Linked DNA regions of Caenorhabditis elegans. The protein of the gene in region 3 purifies or fractionates together with the protein of the main gene of each other region. This does not show direct contact. Each region holds a gene or a part of one and is shown on either strand. Other genes may lie near its edges.

The links.
Region 1: the proteins of attf-3 (region 3) and T28D9.16 fractionate together in Caenorhabditis elegans (co-fractionation; one large-scale study listed by BioGRID). This does not show direct contact.
Region 2: the proteins of attf-3 (region 3) and ZC395.5 fractionate together in Caenorhabditis elegans (co-fractionation; one large-scale study listed by BioGRID). This does not show direct contact.

What each region holds. Positions count from the first base shown.
Region 1 is NC_003280.10:6,473,653-6,477,318, forward strand, and holds T28D9.16 (uncharacterized protein), read left to right. Parts: upstream 1-2,034; 5' UTR 2,035-2,038; coding exon 2,039-2,202; intron 2,203-2,243; coding exon 2,244-2,336; intron 2,337-2,394; coding exon 2,395-2,492; intron 2,493-2,539; coding exon 2,540-3,012; 3' UTR 3,013-3,072; downstream 3,073-3,666. Other genes in the region: Degenerin-like protein del-10, read right to left, coding at 764-992, 1,062-1,122; T28D9.4 (uncharacterized protein), read left to right, coding at 3,307-3,382.
Region 2 is NC_003281.10:5,265,772-5,269,164, forward strand, and holds ZC395.5 (Ovule protein), read left to right. Parts: upstream 1-2,076; 5' UTR 2,077-2,099; coding exon 2,100-2,178; intron 2,179-2,578; coding exon 2,579-2,724; 3' UTR 2,725-2,810; downstream 2,811-3,393. Other genes in the region: gro-1 (C2H2-type domain-containing protein), read left to right, coding at 1-56, 112-308, 500-630, 679-772, 984-1,091, 1,145-1,242, 1,287-1,359; ztf-8 (C2H2-type domain-containing protein), read right to left, coding at 3,228-3,393.
Region 3 is NC_003281.10:84,767-88,525, forward strand, and holds the start of attf-3 (C2H2-type domain-containing protein), read right to left. Parts: upstream 1,619-3,759; 5' UTR 1,612-1,618; coding exon 1,441-1,611; intron 1,382-1,440; coding exon 1,261-1,381; intron 1,212-1,260; coding exon 1,003-1,211; intron 400-1,002; coding exon 206-399; intron 6-205; coding exon 1-5. Other genes in the region: F54C4.4 (NAM-associated domain-containing protein), read right to left, coding at 2,014-2,130, 2,183-2,352, 2,421-2,493; mrpl-40 (Large ribosomal subunit protein mL40), read left to right, coding at 2,798-2,920, 2,999-3,129, 3,173-3,239, 3,282-3,446.

The DNA.
Region 1 (3,666 bases), on a different chromosome or scaffold from region 3:
GAAATATGCAACAAGGAACAATTAAAGGTAGACACATACATTTTCAAAAAATTTCAATAGTCAGAAGAGTCTATAAAATCCAGGAATAATTTTTTTAAAAGGACAAGATAAATAATTTGATTCTACTTTAATGTTGTCCAGAGAAAAATCAAAAAAGTACGAGAATATTCACCTGTTTTTTGGTTTTTTTTTTCTATATCTCTCTTTTCAAACAAACAAACATTGAATCAAATTGGAAGAAAAAAATGTAAAAAAATAAGTTGGTAGCTGGAGATTGAGTGTGTAACCAGTAGACATGTGAGCAGTTATGAATTAATGATTGCGGCTCGTTTTCGGATTGAACTCTTTTCGAAAATAAACAGCCGTTTTATTGCTTGTTAGTGCTTTATTCATTGGTTGATAATCAAAAAAGAGTAACACGAGAGCGTGAGAAAAATATACCTTAAAAAAGGAATCAATGACTTCAATCTTTTTCGTCTTATTTCTTCATTCCAGAACTCTTTTTGCTCTTTTTTACTCGATTTCTCAATTTCCCGCCCTCAAAATCACGCGAGCACAAGATGTCGGTGTCTGCAGCACCAGGGTTTAATTTTAGAAGAAGAATTTATGTTTGTTCTGTCTTTCTCAAATGCCATAAAGTATCCATAAATACATTTGATGTCACATTTGACATTTTGCAAACTTTGGGAAGTTTTAATTTTCATTTTTGAAACGGTTTAAAAATATCTGAAACATTCAAAAAAGAAAGAAAGACGCAATGTATCTACACGTAAGAATGTTTATCATCATCCTCTTCGTCAATTTTCTGCTCTTTTCGTGTTCGTCGTTCACGTGGTGGAGTTTTAAAAAGAGGCGGAGCAAGTGCATCTGAAAACTCAGATACTGAAATTGGCTCGGTATCTGGAATTGGAGATTCATCACGAGGATTTGCCTGGGGTGGAGCACGAGGGCTCGAGTAATATCCAGAAGTTGATCCTTCGCGGTTATCTTCTCTGAAAAAAAATCATTTCTTTATGATAACACTTTATAAGAAAAACTCTAAAAACTTGAATTGAACTTACGGTCTATCTGAAGGTGGTGAAATTGTTAAATAGTTGGGGTCATTGTAGTAGTAGTGGTCTTCTGTAAAGTTTAAAATTGATATGAATATTTAATAGCAACAAGTTATTAAGTTCTTGAGGTGCCCCAACGAGATGCCTCAAGATGTAATGTCGACTTTCTAAAAACTAAAGCACAATATGTAATCATAAGGGGATGTGATTGATAAGTACGATATTAGCCCCCATCACGTTTAGATCTAAAATTTAAATTCATTATTTTTTATCAAAAAATATTCTGGCTCAACTTATATTTAGATACAACTAGTTTGAGAATTATCGTGATTTTCCACATTCCAATGTATATGTTCCCATGCTTCCAATTTTGCATTATACTGACTCACTCTCTGCAGTTTCCGATGTTGTTTTGAGAAATTTCCAAGGTTTTACTTTCAATTTTTCAGAAAAAAACTGATTAACTGTCTTTTATGATCCGATAAAAAAAATCAGTAGAGTAGATATTCTTAACTCATACACCCACCACTTCATGTAATCATTGTCGTGTCACAACCAAATCTTGGCAATATCCCAGCCGTCCCCACTCATTTTACGGGATTCTTCCTTTTATACATCAATCTCTGCATTTTCCTTCTTTTCCTCAATCCTCTTCGCTGTTTTTTTCCATATTGCCAATTTTTAAATCTTCCTATCTATTCGTACGTACAATTCTAGTAAAAATATAGCTCTATTCACATTCTCACAAAGTGCTAGATATGTTGAATGTATTTTTGGTTGTTTTGTAGATGAATGAGAATGAATTTATTTGGAGATTCGTATGACAGAAAAGAGAGCAGCAATGCCAGTAGCTCCGTTGGCTTTCACCATTTTTTATGTTTGTTCTTGTTTCTTCGAGAAACGATGATTTTTCTCTCAATTTTTTGGCACGTTCTGACCCTTGAGCATTCCATTTTTTAAATGAGCTGAAAAGGTTTTCAGAAGGCATGGTACGGTGGAAGAAGCCCAAACGATTTCTATGTCGAAAAACTCAAGATTATGAAAGGATTGATGATATAGAAAATAATGATGAAGATTCAGATGATGATGTTATTTTGGAAATAAATCATGACGGGGAACATGAAGATAACTACAGAAATCCCATGATCAGGTACGTATGTAGTTATACTTTTTAAAATATATTTATTGCAGAATGGCATACATACCAATTGTAATAATAGCAGTAATCTATTCATCGTTCATATTTTTCTTCGCTCTATTCATTGAAGCTTCAGCCCACACAAAGTTGGTCCCTATAGTCTTTTTTAGTTTCAATATTGAATTCGATGTTAACAGTTTTCAGCTCAAAATGCAGCGAGGCACATGAAAAGGAAAAAATGTCATCAGGTCTTCTTACACCGCCTATGAAACATATATTAGAAGATCGTACCAAATATAAGAGTGAGTATTCATTTTTATAATATAAAACTGTTAACCAGAATTTTCAGATGAGATAAAACTATTGAAGACGTTTAATGTGCATCTCACTTATTCGACATGGATCAATTCAATTCTTGAAATTCTTGCTCTCATCTACTCATTTCTGTTGCTTTTAGTCGATAGACAGTACCTTTATCCGCTGTCACAAGTAATTCTTTACCTATTCACTCGAATCAATTTCGTTTATACGGATATTTATGGAAGATTCTTCAGTCCGTCAGACGTTGTGGGAGCAATCACAACCGAAGTTATATATGACTTGATTAGGTGGCAGAGCGAATCTAAACTATTTAAAGTGTTCCCTTTCACACCTTGTCCGCTACCATTGTTGTTATTTCCGATTTTCCTATCAATTCTTCAAGTGTTTGCAAATCAGAAGCACACACATGTTTATGAAAGTGAAAGGCTAATGCGAAAGCAAATTAGAGAAAAATATATTCGTGATGGTCCATTGAAATATTACAGGAATATAATTTTGTGATTTCTAGTAACTTTGTTAGTTTCATATAATTGCAATTTTACAATACAATACAATTGTTTTTCTTTTAACTTTTGTAATCAATACAACTTTAAAAACTACTGTATTTAATATTTAATTTAAATAATTAAATTGATTACGGTATGTTTATTTGTGCATAATTACGTGAGCGTGTTTGCGACTGACGCGTCGCGTGCTGCATCGCGGCTTCATTTTGCGAGATTTTTTTGTGTTTTCTCTTGATTTTTTGTTTTAATTGCATTAGTTCAAGCTGTTTTATTGATATTTTTTAGGATAATGACAAGATTTGCTGGCAGACGTCCATTCATTCTCTCGTACCAAGTACTTCGAAGCGGAATCGCGTCTTTTCAGAGTAAGCCATCGCAACTTATTTGTATTTGTAAAGTATCACACCATGGACATTCGGGTGGGCATTCTCATTTCGAAAAAATCCCTTTTGTTTGCATATAAGAATGCACAGTCAAAAATTGTTTTCATGTGGCTACTGCATCTAGTAGATAAGATAGAAATTTAAAATAATATCACATTTTATGTGTTTTGCCCGTTTTTTGATGGGATGATTGTTTCATTTAAAAGATCAACAATTATCTAGATATACCAGCCACTTATTTTAAACACTAATAAGTTTTCACACAA
Region 2 (3,393 bases), 5.2 Mb from region 3:
ACATCCAAATAATCGTTATCGAGTACAGAGAGCATTGCAAATTTTCAGAGAAACTGGTAATTGATTTGCAAATTTCCAGATTAAAAACAAATCAAGTAAAGTTTTTTGCAGGAATCCGAAAAAGTGAACTTGTTGAAAAACAGAAATCAGATGAAACTGTTGATTTGGGTGGACGACTACGATTTGATAATTCTTTAGTTATTTTTATGGATGCAACACCTGAAGTTTTAGAAGAAAGACTTGATGGAAGAGTTGATAAAATGATTAAATTGGGTTTGAAGAATGAATTGATCGAGTTTTATAACGAGGTAAATATTTGAATTTTTCCAGAAAAAAAAAGAAAATTTTTTATTATTTTGTTTTTTTTTCATTCTTTACTATTTTCCAAAAAAGTTTAAACTTTTGAAAACTGTTCAGAAAATGTTCGTGTATTTATTTTAGCTTACTGAGGCATTATTTCATTGTGATTTTTACTATACTCTATAAACTAAATTTTCAGCACGCCGAGTACATAAATCACAGCAAATATGGTGTCATGCAATGTATTGGTCTTAAAGAATTCGTTCCATGGCTCAATTTGGACCCATCAGAAAGAGATACACTCAATGGGGATAAATTGTTCAAGCAAGGGTAATTTAAATTTATTTTCAATTTTTATAAATTCCAAGCTATTTTCAGATGCGATGATGTGAAGCTTCACACTCGACAATATGCACGGCGCCAGAGACGGTGGTATCGATCGAGACTTTTAAAACGGTCGGATGGTGATCGGGTATGTTGATTTTAAAAAAATTGAATTTTTAAAGAACTTTTTTACTAAATTAACAAAGTTATTGGCTGAAAATGGCTGAAAATTATAGTAAAACTAATCAAAAAAATTGAAATTTTGAATTAAAGTCATAAAGTGACGACCAGAAAATTAAAAAAAAACATTTTTCTATTTTAATTAATTCACTCTACTTCACTTTAAAAATAATTTTCAGAAAATGGCAAGTACAAAAATGCTGGATACATCTGACAAGTACCGAATAATTAGTGATGGAATGGACATTGTTGATCAATGGATGAATGGAATCGATCTATTTGAAGATGTAAAATTTCACAAATTCTAAAATTTCCGAATCACAAATTAAAATTTCTACAGATCTCCACAGACACCAATCCAATTCTAAAAGGGTCCGATGCAAATATTCTGCTGAATTGTGAAATCTGTAATATTTCAATGACTGGAAAAGATAATTGGTTTGTTTCAATACATATTATAATTTCGAAATGAATTTTTTCAGGCAGAAACATATCGATGGGAAAAAGCACAAGCATCATGCTAAGCAAAAGAAATTGGCAGAGACTCGCACATAAGACGCTATATTTATTTTTTGTTAACTTAAATTATTTTTGTTGTTGATTGTTCTCTAAATAAAAAAACAGCTCAGAGAGAAGATTAGGCGCTCGTCCACATCTCCGACGATAGTCAACCCGAACGAAGGGAACTATCTTTAATTGTCAGTGATGACGTCATGTCGTCAAGAACTCGTCATAGCTGTGAGAATTGAACCATTATAGATTTGGACATTAGTTTAGGTTATATCCAGTACACTAAATGGTACATGATAGACAGTGTACATTTACAGATTTATAGATTGTCTCAGTGACTAGTTACCGGAAGAGGAGAGGAGAACATGTGGCGATGTCTTTTGGATCGATATTATTCCGTCTGAAAATTGTTCACTAGGGGGACTGCCGATTACCACTTCACATGACGGAACATGTTAGTTAAAATATTGGCTTTTATACACATTTTCAAAATAGCACCTGTATTAGAATATTCAAGAAAAACCTATTCCATGTTATTGCTCCACGAGCAGAAATGCGATACACTGTGTTGCATTCGTAAGTGTTTACCATAAATGTTACCTTATTAATATCAAATAGATAAGAAAAAGCATGTAGAAGATATAATCACGTGTGTCAATCGACCTTCTCCACCCATTTTTGATTGTTTAGATGGTTAGGTACCCGCTAAAAAAAGAATAATATAAAAAGGAAAAGACGAACAATTTGATTGATAATTCATTTGATTGTTGAGAAGAACTAGAAGAATGGACAAATCGACCAAAGATTTTATGGATTTGAAGAAGATTGGTGGTGACGATGAAAGGGAGCGACGTTTCAGTGATGGTTTGTTCTTTTTTAAATGAAAACTATATGTTGATTAATTGCTGTATTAACCCTGAGAATTTACCCAGATTTTTGTCAAAAATACAGTGCCCGGTCTCGATACGACAAATGTTTGTGAATGGTGTGTACCTTTGAAGAGTACTGTAGATTGTCAACAAAAGAAAATATGTTTTACAATTAAATTTCAACAAAATAGAAAAATCAATGAAAATTCCGCAGAAACACAAGTTTCTAACTACAATACTCTTTAAAGTCGCACACCTTTTCGAATTGAACAAATGTTTGTCGTTTCGAGACCGGACGCCTTAGTTTGGTGTAAAAATCGTAAGGTTTTGCGTCTCGGTAATATATTTCAGGTAATTTTCCCCTCTAAAGTTATTGATATTATAAAAATTTTCAGCATCTGATACATCAATGGATTGTCACATGGAATCTATCGGAAGTCGTCGCCGTGACAGTTTAATCGAACAATTCCGCGATTTTTTGAACCGATCAATGGATTTTAGTGTCAAGATTGATGATCCATTTGAAAAAGAAATGTATTAAAATTATATCGTTTTCTTGTTGATTTTTGTAATTTTATATGTTGAAATTGTAATTTTTTGTTTCTGTAAATAAATGTACTTATATTGATTCGAAAATTTTAGATTTAACAGTTTTAGTTTCACTTCCGTATTTAGAAACATGGATTTTTGAATCGAGACTTTGGAGAACGATAGAAGCAATAAAATATTATAAAACACAACACACATGGAATATTCGTTTAAACAGAACGAGAGATTCAACAATTAAAGTCAAACAACAATGGCATTATTTTATTGCTAACTAAAAAGAGATAATTGAGAATTGTTATCTTAGATATGAAACGCTAGGATATACTAACACACAGAAACTAAATTTGATGTTTGAAAGCGAAGGAGATTTAGATTTTTCGAGAAATTTTCTTAAAATTTCGCACAAGCTGATTTGGAATACTGGAAGGTTAAGGGAAATATTTGAAGATTGAACGGTTTTAGAAGGAAAATGCATATATAATATTGATGGCGGCTTTACCATCGAGAGCCTCGATCATCTCGATTGCCACGATATGACGAACGGGAATGATGATTGGAAGACGAAGAATTATATTCGGAACGACGAGAAGATCCTTCAGTTGTTTCAGAATTGTTGTTGTAGTTATTTCGACTAACAAATGGAGAATTGAAACGATTCGAT
Region 3 (3,759 bases):
GGAATCTGTAAAAAATCGAGTTTTAAAGTGAAAATTCGCAAAAAATTCGAAATTTTCGATTTTTTGACGGGACATTTGGTTAAAATTGCCATTTTCCTTCAATTTTCGACTAAAAATAGCAATTTTAGGTCATTTTTCACGATTTTAAGGTCGAATTTTGCCGAAAATCACGATTTTTCTAGTTAATCATAGATTTTTCCAGCACCTTGAAGGCATTTTCCATTCGGGGTGAATCGCTTTCATATGATCCATACGAAGTGATCGATAGCCGCCTTTCCACAGACAATCCGGCATATAGCACTTATATTTTCCGTTGGCATCTCCAATGGTAAGTCTGTCCGGTAGACGATCGTTCGGGTACCGGCGGAATGCAGTTCGAGTCCGGTTTTGAACAAATTTCTGGAAAAACTGAAGGAATTAGCAGGTTTTTGAGGTGAAATTTGAGTTTTTCGCGGTTTTTTACGTATTTTTCGGGCTTTTCTGGGTTAAAATGTAATTACATAATTATTTAAATATTTTTAACAGATCATTTTTGGGTCTGCTAAATAATTAGCAGACCATTTTTGGGTCTGCTAAATAATTAGCAGACCATTTTTGGGTATGCTAAATAATTAGCAGACCATTTTTGGGTATGCTAAATAATTAGCAGACCATTTTTGGGTTTGCAAAATATTTAACAGACCAAAGTTGGGTATGCTAAATAATTAGCAGACCAAAGTTGGGTATGCTAAATAATTAGCAGACCATTTTTGGGTATGCTAAATAATTAGCAGACCAAAGTTGGGTATGCTAAATAATTAGCAGACCAAAGTTGGGTATGCTAAATAATTAGCAGACCAAAGTTGGGTCTGCTAAATAATTAGCAGTCCAAAGTTGGGTCTGCTAAATATTTAGCAGACCATTTTTGGGTATGCTAAATATATATTCTCGTCCATTTTCATCAGTTTTGGCTCAATTTTCACGAAAATTTTTCTCGAAATTTACAAATTTTCCTCGATTTACCGAATCCAACATAGGACTATCGTCATTTTCCTCGTCTTCCTCATGATCAATAACCACTTCTTGGCCGACAATCATGGAATTTCCGTCTAAATTCATGTCCGAGCCGCCCATCAGCTGATAATTGGCTCCACGGCGAACATAATCCCCAAGGGAAGTCTCTTCGTCAATAATTCCGAGTCCGTGAAGGCGAGAAGCTTCTTTATCGGTTCCTGGAAGCAAAAAATCGTTTTTTCACAGATTTTTTAAAAGATTTATTACTTATTGCCGAATCATCCACACATTCCACTATCGTTTTCGGACGTTTTCGACCGCCGAGAAGCTGTTTTGTGGTGACTCGTTGCAGTGGAACCGGAGAATCTTCGTATTTTTTCGGTCGGCCCTGGAAAAAATTAAATTTTTTTTCGTTTTTCAATCAGAATCTTGAAATATCCGCCTTACCCTTGGTTTTTTATCATCTTCCTGACCTTCTGGCCGTGGATGTCTGTGTCTTTTGTGTGCACTGAGACTTCGATCGGATTTCCCGACGTATTCGCATAAATTGCACTGAAAATCGATATTTGTCGGCACATTCACCACGTCCACATCGTCCTGCTCATCGTTTTTCATCATTTTTTAGCTGAAAAATAACATTTTTCAATTTATTTCGTTAATTTCTTTGCATTTTTCCATTTAAATTCGAAAGCGAAGACGAGAGAGCATGCAAAAACGAGAGAGCGGGAGAGAAAAAGAAAAGGATAAACAATGTTTTCGGCGGCATTCGGAGCGTCGTCAGACGCGCGCTGCGAGACCCAACAGACGGGAAATGTCATGCGCCTTTGATTTTACAATTTATTTCGGCTATTTATTGCGGTTTTTTTGCAGTTTTTCGCTCAATTTTCTTCTAAAATTTGAATAATACATGATAAAAAAAAAATACATAATTTATTTCGACAGCGATTGATACATAATTTCACAAATTTACATGGATTTTTGCCACAAAATTAAAAAAAAAATAAAATAAAGAAAGCACATTTAAAGTTTATTCATTTGCTTCTCCAAATGTTCCATATCCCGCGCATCGGCTGACTTTGTGATTCTATCGAAAATAAGCTTCTGCGTCTCCTCTAACATCTTGAGTTGCTCTTTATTCTGTAAAAAATCGGCTTTTAGGTTGGAAATTTTATTTTTCTAAAAAACGTACGCTTTTCATACTGGTAGCTTGAGATAATCGGCTCTTCATGCTGCTCAGAAACTCGTCAAAGTCCGATTTGGCGGGTTTCTTGTGAATTCCAGAGTTTTTGACTTTTGGAATGGCGTTTTTCGGTTTTTTCGACGCTTTTTCGGTTTTCGATGCACTACAGTTGCTATTTGCTGAAAAAAAATTCGATTTTATTTGAAAAAAAACCTGAATTTTAATAAAAATTTGATAAAAAACTCACAATTGGCAGAAATCCCTGAAGAACTCTGCTCAGCAGCCATCATGGTCTCCTCGTCTTCGAAAATGGTTTCCATAGTGTTTTAGCTGCCAAATCCTTATTAAAACTCAAAAATTGTCAATAAAAACGCGGAAAATTGTCCGAAAATCGATTAGGGACGACGAGAGAGTGTGGGGAAGTGAGAGACGGAGCTTGTGTAGATTTACGGTGAACAACGCGTGGGGGTGGGATAGCGGAGTGTCGTTTGGGAATTTATTTTATTAAATTTTTATTGTTTTTGTTGATTTTTAGGAGGTTTCCTTGGTTTTTTCGACTATTTTCTTCAGAATTTTGATGATTTTGATGTAAAATCACTTCAAATTCCAATTTTTCCAGGTAAAATGAGCTCCAGCCTGCTTGCGAGCCTCTCCCGGCTCTCCCTACTTCAAACCCGCCAAATTCATCAAACAATTCCCGCCGGCTCCTCGGTTTTTATGAAAAGACAGAAGAAAATTGATCCGGAGGTAGAGAAAATTACAGTTACTCATTGAATAAAACGGGAAATTTAATAAAAATTGAGAAAAAATTCAAAAATTTTCCAGGTAGCAAAGCAGCGAGAGACCCGACGCAGAAAACGGCTGGAAAAGGATATTCGTCAGATGCAAAAGCACTCGAAAAAGCCGAAACCAGTGGATGAGCTCACTTTGGACGTGAAATCCGCGAAAAATATCGGGTTTTTCAGCGATTTTCTGCCTAAAAACTCGGAATTCTTACAGAGAACGCCGCCGCCCACGCACCGAGCTCACCTTGGAGCAAATTGACGAACGAGCCATCGCTCTGAAGGTAAAAATCTGAGAATTTCGCTTCAAATCCGTGGATTTTCAGGATTATACACGCTCCCGGTTGGCTTTGCAGCAGGAGGATGACGCGTGGATTCGTGGAGCCATCGAATCGCAGAGAAAAGCTCTAAATGAGCTGAAAATGCTCAAATTGGAGCTCTACGAGGCGGCTGTACAGCCAGCAGCCAAGGATTTACCGCTTATTGTTCAGGTAGCGGAGAAATTGAAGAAAAATGGTCAAAAAATTGATGAAAAACCCGAAAAACTCACGAAAATTCATTAAAATCTTAAAAATTGCTAGAAATTCGGAAAAATGCCCAAAATTTTAGAAAATGTTTAAATATTCCTGAGAAAATGTCAAAAATACCGAAATTTATTAGTAAAATCTTGAAAATTTTGCCAAAAATCTGGAAAAACCTGGAATTTTCGACTTTTTTTTTCTAAAAGTTTCAAAATTCCCAAATAATCATTCAAAAAAAAAAACTTTCTAAAAAATCTCTAAAATTTTTGCGGAAATTTTGAAA